3 linked regions of the Danio rerio genome follow. The protein of the gene in region 1 purifies or fractionates together with the protein of each later gene. This does not show direct contact. Links are inferred from orthologs where the notes say so. Each region holds a gene or a part of one and is shown on either strand. Other genes may lie near its edges.

Region 1 (2,769 bases):
ATTATTTCAACTTTTAAATAAGAAAAGGTGTAATGTGTGAGGCTAACCTGAAAAAAAACCCTATTTGGATTAAAAAATAAAACAAATTACAGTGACAACAAAGCTACAACTCATATAAATAAAATGTGTTGTTTTGTTAGTGCAAAGTAAGTTACAAAACAAGATGACGCTTCAGAGAGGCTGGTCAGTGTATACTGATTATAAAATTTGTTTTTATAAGCAATTTACAATGCTGATATTACAAAGAAATGCAACAGAAACAGGTAAAATAATGGTATAAAAGCAGTTCCCCTCAGACACAATTATACTGGACTACACACAACAGCTAGAAGCATTACATGTCTGAAAGGCCTCAAAACCAAATCTTTGGAAAGTTGTATAAACATGTTTATTAAAAAAAAAAAAGTTCCATTGACATTTTTTTTTTAGATCGCACAAGATGCTAAATCTACAGGTGCTGACTTCTGGTATAGTTTGGAGAGCTAAGATCAATTCTGCTGGATGTTTTACATCACCTCAGTTTCATTGAGCACTGTTACAACCTCAAACAAAACAGAATGTGTGAACAGATCACTTAATGTTTTACAAAAACTTTTTAATCATACAAATATAAAATGAAAAAAAAATAATAATAATAATACAACTCGGCATCAAGCCAAATCTATTTACAGTCCAAAATTCCCACGGTGAACATCTTCATGTGTGCCAAGAGAAGGGTGAATGACGCCACCTGCTGGAAGAACATCACAGGCCGACTGATGACAGCTGCCCATCAATCATCAATGGTGGGTAACCAGAACGCCTGTGCAGGGGACATTTCAGAATATGTTTGTGATATACATCAGGAATAATGATGCATCTATATACACCTTAATAAAATGGGAATGGCTGGTGATATTAACGTCCTGTTTGTGGCACAATAGTATGTGAGGGGGCTTGTAAATAACTCATGAAAGAATAAAATTGTTAAAAGCAAGCACATCATTGTTTTTTTTGTGTGAAATTCCCAATAAGTTTATTAAGGTGTGTCCATTTAAATGGCCCACCCTGTATGTGTATATAAATATAAATATATATATATATGGCCGTCAATTAGTGACTACTGCAGTATTTACACAAAGAAAACGCAGAAGATTTTAAGGACAATTTGACAACCCTGTGTACTCTTTTTATATCACATTTTCCCCATTCCATTTCTCCAATAATTACCATAAAAAATTAGCAGTGAATGCTACTGACTAAAATACCTTATACTAAAAAGGCTGTTTTATACAGTTGTTTTATGTTCATCTCTTAAGTTCTTTTTTTTTAAGTCTGCATCACAAGTCACAAAAATAAACAATAATAATAAAAGTAATACTTTAAAATGAGGCTAATATTTTTCTGATCTATTTACACAAACAAAAAACACATATGCTTAAATAATTGTTTTGAGTTTAACATTCACAGACTACAGTCCATAGCAATTTCCTTTTCATTCATTTAAATTCTGTGAATCTTTTATAGTAAATTATACTATCGATTAGATTGCACCATTTGACATTTTATTATTTTCAGAAAGCATAGAGTACTAAACGAATGCAAAGTAAAAAAAATGCCACTGAGATGAACAGGAATACTAAGGCATATACTGATGGCTGAAGGTCTGGGAACTTTGGCAGATTTCAATGGTTAAAGAACCACCCATGATGCCATTTCAGACTGACAGCTTTACCAACCAATAACCATTCGTTTTGTGTTGTGTCTTATGTATGTGCGTGGAAGAGTCTACAGAATGCCTAGCCATATGCGTCATCCATTCAGGTCTTCAAACGTTTACAACAACGCATCAATATACTTAATGATCTGTCAGCAAAACATATAGGAAATCAGTAGGAGATGTATGTGGACGCAGACTGAGATAAACATTGCAGCAGTTTTTTTATCCAATCAGACTTGTTTCCAGGTGGACTGGTTAATATTGCTGTACACTAGACTCCCAGAAATCAGAGGACAACTGATGATCTGTTAAAGTGTTTCCAATTAAGTGTGCCATATGCATCAGACATTTAGCCACATGTCCGTGAGCAGTGTTTGGCATGACATCTAAGACTAACTAATTCATAACTACCTCCAAGTTTCTCCCAAAACAAGTTTTGAAAATGTGACAAATTGCACATATTCCATCTACATATACAGTAAGTTATGCCAAACATCAGATTTGTGTCTACCTTCGGTTAAGTCTTACCATGTTAGAACAGGCACTGGCAAAGGTCATGAATTTGGGGTTAAACTGTAGACATGTAACAGGACCAGTGTGTTTCCCATCCAGAAGCGCTACTTTCATCCCACTCTCAGCATTCCACACATGGATCTTCCCATCTTCTGATCCTGGAAATGTTGAGGAGACACGATCAATCTCTGTAAACTCATCTTAAGTCCTTTTGTAGTCCTGTGAGAAGCTTAAGTGAAGACTTACCGATCATAATGAACTGAGAGTCTGGTGTGAAAGAAGCCTCCAAAATGACACCTTTACTGTTGTTATAACCCTGCAGTAAGAAAGAGAAACACTCTTAAAAGTGCCTTATTATGCTTTTTTCTAATATAATCATAAATGCTTTGTAATAATTAGGCTATTTATTAATTTATGATGTAATATTAAGTATTTTTGAAAAACTTTTTACCTCAAAAGATTAAATTACATTGGTTAAAAAAAAAACAAGCCCATTAAATAATAGGTGTCAATTTACCAGAAATGCCATGACAGCACAGTAGCACTATAGCAAGCAG
Region 2 (3,739 bases), on another chromosome or scaffold:
GATTAATACTTAATTCACCCAAAGATGAACATTTGATCACTTGCCCTGAAGTGGTTTCATACCTTAATGATTTTCCTTTTCTCGTTGAACACAAAAGAAGATATTTTGAATAATGTTGGAAGCCTGTAACCATTGACTTCAATAGTATTAAAAACAAATGCTATTAAAGTCACTATTAGTTACAGGTTTCCAACATTTTTTAAAATAACTTATTTTGTGTTCAACAGGAAAAAGAAACTCAAACAGGTTTGTGAAAAGTGAATAATGAGTGGAGAGGAGACACAGTGATGAAGCCAATTATGGTATGGGGAATGTTAGGGGGCCATGATGGACAGAGGCCAGTGGGCAGATTTGGCCAGGATGCCAGGGTTAAACCCCTACTCTTTTTTTGAAGGACATCCTGGGATTTTTAACAACCACAGAGAGTCAGGACCTCGGTTTAACGTCTCATCCGAAAGACGGCGCTCACTGAATAGTATAGTAGGGCATTATACTAGGGCATTAGGACCCACCCAAATCACAGGTTAGGTGCCCCCTGCTGGTCTCACCAGCAACCTAGCTTTCCTATGTGGCCTTCCATCCAGGTACTGACCGGGTCCAGCCTTGCTTAGCTTCAGTGGGTGACCATGTGAGAGTTGCAGAGAGCTAGCTGCCGGATAAATCAAAATAAAAACAAAATGACATGAAATCACAGGCGATTGTCTTTTGATCGAGTGCACCTGAAAAGACATTCCTCATAGAGCTTAAGAAGCATACAGTCCTCTAAGATCTATATAATTTGTAAAATAAAGACTTGCAGGTTAAGGAAACAGCATAGGAGGTAGTTGCCGTGGGCTTTGGTGCAAATGAAAAGTAAAAAAAAATAAGTTGTATTTATAGCTAGATAGGTAACTAGATAGAATAGACAGAGATAGATAGATCTGTGCAGCAGCTGCCGATGAGTTGCACGCTGCAGATGCAGTCTGTGTGAAAGGCAAACGTCTGCGTGCTGCTTGCGTTGTGAAATAGACGTAATTGTGCCTTCTCTTTTTTTTTTAGTTCTTTTTAAGCTTATTTTAACACTTTTTGAAATCTGTTTAAATTTTAAATTCTTTGTTGTTTTTATTTCTTATACTTATTGTGTGATCATTTTATAATTAATTTAACCCTTGTCTAATGTTCAAACGAACTACTCTTTCGTTATGTTGGTGGCTGTATTTGCCCTATTGACTTTGATTATAAGGACATTTTTTGATTGCAAAGCCATGGCAGCATATACTCATGTATTCTTGATTGTTGGTGGTTATTCCTGTGGGGAGTTTCTACTGTTGATCATCAGTTGGCAGCACTTACACTTTAGATGTGCAAAAAGCTTTCTGGCATTTATATGAAGTTCTGTAAATTATATGGAGTAAAACAGCAGATGATAGCGTGTGTGCAGAAATACACTTACTGTGTTTACTATGTGAAGAGAGCTGAGCTGCTTATTTTAATTTCTCAGACATATCAAGGCAAGAGCTTAAAGGTCTCTCACACACAAACACACTATACTCTATATAGAAGGCAGAAAATACGCTTACAGATTCAAATAAAACAATTGACCTTCCCAACAGGATAAACCAGCAACAATCAAGAATACATGATTATATGCTGTCATGACTTTGCAATCAAAAAAAGTCATTATAATGGAAGTCAGTTGGGCTAAATCAGTCCCGAACATAACAAAAGGGAAGTCAATTTGCCCAGAGTTTATTGTTGAATTAAAAAAAAAAAAATCGAAGCATTTTCCCAAAATATGTGTCAAAATAAGATTTTGTCACCAAAAATCATTCCATTTGCTGAAACACAGAGAACAGTGTGGCCAAACTAAGACTCAAAATCCCACCAGAGAGGATGAAACCCTCTCCAACAGCACACAAGGGTTAATCTTGGTTTATGTAAAGTATTTTGGACTTACCTCTGTGTATGAAATGTGCTTTATGAATAAATCTGCCTGGCTTTAGACTAATGTGTTTTGTCATAGGGAAAGAGTATACCAGCGCAGCCCCAAGTGTCCACCAGAGCAGGTTCAGAGCGGCGGTCCGAACAGCGGCGCTTGCTGTCGTCCTTCAGCTGTGACAGTGATCTCCTCAAGTTCAACCAGCTCAAGGTAAGACAAGCACAAACCAAACTATTTACAGTACTGTGCAAAAGTCACTAGTATTTTCACCAAAGGTTAAAGTGGGTTATTTCTATAATTTTCTGTAGTATGTCAGTTTGAAATGTCAATTTACATTTACCAACATTATTTCTGTCATTAATTGTAATTATGCAGCATGAGATTGACAGGTGGATTGGTGCTGTGGCAGCATTAATGCGGTCGATGTACCGGTCTGTTGTGATAGAGAAGGAGCTGAGCCGAAAGGCAAAGCTCTCAATTTACCAGTCAATCTACGTTCCTACTCTCACCTATGGTCATGAGCTTTGGGTCATGACTGAAAGGACAACATCTCTGATACAAGCGGCCGAAATGAGTGTCCTTCGCAGGGTGGCAGGGCTCAGAGTAGAGCCACTGCTCCTGAACATTGAGAGAAGTCAGCTGAGGTTACTCGAGCATCTGTTTCGGATGCCTCCTGGAAGCCTACCTAGGGAGGTGTTCCAGGCATGTCCCACCTGGAGGAGACCTCAAGTAAGACACAGGACATGCTAGAGGGACTATGTCTCTCGGCTGGCCTGGGAACACCTCAGGATCCCCCCGGAGGAGTTGGATGAAGTGTCTGGGCAGAGGGAGGTCTGGGGTTCTGTCCGAAGACTGCTGCCCCCACGACCCAGCCCTGGAAAAGCAGTAGAAAATGAATGAATGAATGTATTTATGCAGTGAGATTAATGTCTGAGGGTAGGACTGTCACCTCACAGCAAGAAGGTTGCTAGTTCGAGTTCTGGCTCGATCAGTTAACATTTCTGTGTGGACTTCTCCTCGTATTGGCATGAGTTTCCTCCGGGTGCTCCAGTTTCCCCCGCAGTCCAAACACAAGCACTATAGACTGTTTCAATGTGGTCATGTCATTGGTCCATGAACATTTAATTTATAGGTTTTAATTTATAGTAGCCTAAGTTATTTATTAAAAATTGTGTATTTACTGAATTGGGCCTATATCCTAAAACATTTCTGCAGTGTTATGAATGTGTCAAAGTTATAAATGTGTGTGTATGTGTGTGTGTGTGTGTGTGTGTATATATATATATATATATATATATATATATATATATATATATATATATATATATATATATATATATATATATATATATATATATTGTTATTCCTATTATTATTATTATTAGGTAAGATATTGTTTTGTATTTCTTAATAAATGGCCTACTATAAATTAAAACTATTACCGGTATGATTTATATAAAAGATTACAATTGTGTTTTTTGTAAGTGGTCTTATGTTTTAGGATATAATATGGCATATTCCTGATAATATTTGTCAAGGAAACATACAGTAGGCCTTATATGTGGGACGATATAAAACGAGTGCATGTTTTTACCACAACTAATATTAGATTTTTAATTTATTTTTTTAAGTGTGTGTGTGTGTGTGTGTGTGTGTGTGTGTGTGTGTGTGTGTGTGTGTGTGTGTGTGTGTTAGTTAAACAGTTTGCACAAAGCTATGGGGATCATTATGGCGTCATTTTAGATGTTTTACATTATAACTAATGTGGTTTACACAATGGATCTGTGACAGAGAAACTACGGTTTTGGGAAACACTTGTCA
Region 3 (4,230 bases), on another chromosome or scaffold:
AAAAAATTATATATAATAAGTATTTTCTTAACCTTTGATCTGTGATCCCATTAGCAAGTTATTTTTCATTAAATTGTGTCATTACACAAGACGTTTTTGATTTGTTTTGTTTTGTTGTCATACATAATATTGTACAAAATGTGTAACAAATACTGATCTATAATAGTAATTTTACACTACCTGATAAAAGTTTTGTTGTCTACCCCAGTAGTAGGGGCAACAAATAATAAATTGACTTCTAGTTGATCATTTAAAAAAGTGGCAGAAGGTAGATTTTTCAGATGAATCATTTGTTGAACTGTTTTCCAATCATCACAAATACTGCAGAAGACCTATAGGAACCCGCATGGAACTAAGATTCTCACAGATATCAGTCAAGTTTGGTGAAGGAAAAGTCATGGTTTGAGGTTCATTCAGTATGGGGGCATGCAAGAGATCTGCAGAGTGGGTGGCAACATCAACAGCCTGAGGTATCAAGACATTTGTGCTGCACATTACATTACAAACTACAGGAGAAGGCAAATTCTTCATCAAGCGCTCTTCATACCTCAGTTTCCACAACAAAGTTCCTAAAAGCAAAGAAGGTCAAGGTGCTCCGAATTGGGCAGCCTTGTCACCAGACATAAACATTATTGAGCATGTCTGGGGTAAGATGAAGGAAGAGGCATTGAAGATGAATTCAGAGAATCTTGATGATTGCTGGGAGCCCAGCAAGAACGCTTTCTTTGCCATCCCAGATGACTTTATTAATAAGTTATTTAAGTCATTGCAGAGATGTATGGATGCAGTCTTCCAAGCTCACGGGAGTCATACACAATAATAATTATCTTTCCACTGCAGCATGACTTTATATTCTAAACTGTACATTATTTCAGTTAAGTAACAAGACTTGTCTAAGCAAAGTCAGATCTTACTGTCCTAATTAAATAATTAAAAATCGAGGCATGATCATATTTTATTTCAGTAAAATAAGCTTAAACTTAATAAGCTTAGAAGTCAAGTTATTATTTGTTGTCCTTAAAATTTGGATAGACAACAAGACTTTTGTCAGGTTTACATCAGTGGAAACAAATACTAGTCTTTGTATTTTTAATGTGTTTAAGTTAAGGTATTAAAATTAAGTTTTTAACTTTGCATTACATAAACATTAATATTGATTTTATTAAAATATTGAAAAAAATAAATAAATGCCAAGAGTATACCTATTATGAAAAAAATCCATCTAGAAGAGAAACCAAATACACAAATAGCCAAACATTAAACAATAGGAAACACCATTAACAATTAAACTCCTATCAACAGGTCAAAAGTTTGCCTTCAAACGCGATTAAATATTTATGAAAAGGTCATTAATATTGACGTAACTGCTTGTAACCAAGTGAATGACGTCATTGCAAGCGCCACCTAGCGGCCGTTGCTTGAAGCGCTGCATGCAGAACTCGGCACTGAAGATGGCGGAGGGGGAATTAAACGTTGACAGTCTCATCTCTCGACTTCTTGAAGGTAAGCTGTTTGAAAATTTAGCCTTTCTAACGTTTACACGATAAACCCAGTGATTAGACACTAGTTGTGACTTGTTTTATCGCCGGTGAATTGGAAATTTTGCGTTTAAAAAGAGAGCAAAGCTTCGGGTCTCTGCGCCCTGTTTACAAACACGGCAGTGGCCCCGGGGTTTGGGCAGCTTTCATACCAGCGCTGGGAGGTTCAGATTAGATCTAATATCTACCAAAGCAGGGATGAGACGCGAGGGCCTGTGGTTTATACAGCAGATGTTTAAAGAAAGCGAGAAATGGGAGAAAGGGCAGGACGATGCGGTGCTCGCTGCGTCGTCGACTTTAGGCGAATGCAACCGACGTAAACCCGATTCTCCATTAGACTCTGCTTCTACTGGTTTCAAAATACAGGATTACCGTGTTATTCACCGTGTACGTTAAAACTCTTGATTTATGTGAAACAAATGGATTTTCTAAATCATCTTATTAATGTTCACGGTGTTTTGTGTGTAACAATACACTCAATCTTATCCGTAATTGTACAATGTAAGTAACGTTACAATTCACAGCGTTACATTATCGTTACTCTTCATATTTCCCTTTTAATATGTATTATTTGTCATAATTTTTCTTCCCTTCATAAATACATATTATCTTTATACCGTTGCATACCTTTAATGTCTCAATGCTTTCATTGGAAACGTTTGTTATAACTTTAGTAAAGCCATACAAAGAATGTAAGGTAACATTGAGTTGTATATGTTGTTGTTGTTTTTGTTGAGATATAGGTGCTGTTTTTTACTCAGACATTTAAAAAGACATATTTTAGAGCAGTGATCACAATACCGTGAAACTGTGATATTTTTATCCAAGGTTATCATACCGTCAGAATCTTATATCGGTCCATGCCTATTTATCACTGCATATTCACAAGGTTTCATTGCTATAAGGCCGCAGCTAAATTTGGTTGTCAGTTCAGATTTGATTGTTTAAATCTGTGCTGTTTACACAGTTCAGTCATTTATATGAGTGGCAACTACAGCAAGTGCTTTATTTCAAGGAAATGCAATTGATGGGTACATATACAGACATTCTACAGCTTGTAACAAAAAAAAATTAAATAATAACTAAATGTTAATGTTGTAATTGACACAGCAAACCTAAAAACCAATGTTTTAACTTAGAATAAACAAGCTTGTAGTGATAAACTGTATTTTTAATGTCAAAAGACACTTCGCAAGGATTGCTTGTAATTTGTATATGTGGCAAAACTTGAAGAGTGGCCTCTGTGAAGCAGCCTTCTAAAGAAATGTGTTTAAAGTCATCTTTAGTAGCTGTTAACAAAAATGTTGCTATGGTTACCACATTTACATTGTCTCTTGTTTTACTCACGATAGTTTGCAATTATTTGGGGGATTCCTCCTCTATTTAAATACAATTAACACTTTTAAAGCGTTATTTTGTGTACTTGGCCGTAGTAATGTTTCACTTCATTTCCCTAATGATTTAATTGCTTATTATTCCCCTTATTATAAGATTACACTGAATCCTCCTCTTAATGGCATTGAAAGCTGTATATTTCCTCCCGCGTGCTGTAAGGAATGTTACACTATATGTAGTTGTACTTTTAGGCCAATTCACAACTCTCAGACACAGATAACTAGGCATGGGCCAGTATAAGATTCTGATGGTTTGATAACCTTTCAAAAATATTGTGGTTTCTTGGTTTTGTGATAACTGCTCTGAAATATATGCTCTTTTTAAACCTCTGGGTAATAAACAAAAACTTTTTTCCCCTTTGAACACAATATCTTTCATTTTGAAGAGAAATGTTTAAAATATTTTGTAACAGTAAACATGTCCAAATAGTTCAAATGAATCCTTGTCTTTCTGTTATGAAATGAATCATTGTCTTTATTAGTTTTAAAAAAAGATTTTTTTATTTTATTTAAAACAACGTCTTTGGATATCTTTTCTGCTAGACATTCTGTTGTCCTAAAAACAAAAAAAGTACACATATCTTAGGAATGACATTGCAGAAAATTTGACAGTTTTGCACCTTGACTTTTCCAAACTGCGATATACCTTGAAAGTGGTGATTGTTTCATGTCTACTGACAGCTGGCAGTTTTATTGAATGGGTGAATTTTTTGATTCAGTGTTTATTAGATTTGCGAAAGGTTTGAGAAATTATATGCTGTTATCTGGTGATTGTTGGCATTTATTGGCATAGTAAAATACATGCCAAATAGAAATAGCCATTAGAATAACTATAGATAGTTACTTTTAATAAGTTAGAATTCAATAGAAATTTAATCTTAAGGCTCGTACACACCGGGACGCTTTTCGTTTGCGTTTATGGTCAGCATTTTTCAAGGTGTTTTTCCGGATTCAAACCCAAGCAATTTTGCAAAAGACCCAAGCAAAAGGATATGCAAAATTACTCCTTGACGTTAGATGACGCTACACAACTTTAAGCTTCTGACATTCGCATGTAACACTAAAGAAGAAGACAAAGTTGACATGCTTGTTGTTATGGATGGTTCAAGTAGCAGCTCCAGCTTTAGCGATGAGGAAATGATTATTGTTCACCAATGCAATAAGCAGCTCCACCTTCATATCGCCTCTAGGCATCTTCTTGACAGCTTTGCGCTTGAGAGCCTCCAAGTGCTGTTTACTGTAACTTCAGCAGCTCCGTGCACGTGAACAAAAGTGCCAACCTGATTGGTGGAGAAGGT

Evidence for each region.
Region 2: the proteins of wdr82 (region 1) and setd1ba purify together in Homo sapiens (affinity purification with western blotting; 4 studies listed by BioGRID, with this or other methods). This does not show direct contact. The link is inferred for Danio rerio from reciprocal best matches to the Homo sapiens genes WDR82 and SETD1B.
Region 3: the proteins of wdr82 (region 1) and ppp1cb purify together in Homo sapiens (affinity purification with mass spectrometry; 5 studies listed by BioGRID and IntAct, with this or other methods). This does not show direct contact. The link is inferred for Danio rerio from reciprocal best matches to the Homo sapiens genes WDR82 and PPP1CB.

The regions. Positions count from the first base shown.
Region 1 is NC_133181.1:44,014,597-44,017,365, reverse strand, and holds the end of wdr82 (WD repeat-containing protein 82), read right to left. Parts: intron 2,529-2,769; coding exon 2,459-2,528; intron 2,371-2,458; coding exon 2,228-2,370; intron 803-2,227; coding exon 773-802; 3' UTR 575-772; downstream 1-574. UniProt on the Homo sapiens protein: Regulatory component of the SET1/COMPASS complex implicated in the tethering of this complex to transcriptional start sites of active genes.
Region 2 is NC_133185.1:47,244,407-47,248,145, forward strand, and holds part of setd1ba (histone-lysine N-methyltransferase SETD1B-A), read left to right. Parts: intron 1-2,002; coding exon 2,003-2,128; intron 2,129-3,739. UniProt on the Homo sapiens protein: Histone methyltransferase that catalyzes methyl group transfer from S-adenosyl-L-methionine to the epsilon-amino group of 'Lys-4' of histone H3 (H3K4) via a non-processive mechanism.
Region 3 is NC_133192.1:27,042,076-27,046,305, reverse strand, and holds the start of ppp1cb (serine/threonine-protein phosphatase PP1-beta catalytic subunit), read left to right. Parts: upstream 1-1,430; 5' UTR 1,431-1,451; coding exon 1,452-1,503; intron 1,504-4,230. UniProt on the Homo sapiens protein: Protein phosphatase that associates with over 200 regulatory proteins to form highly specific holoenzymes which dephosphorylate hundreds of biological targets.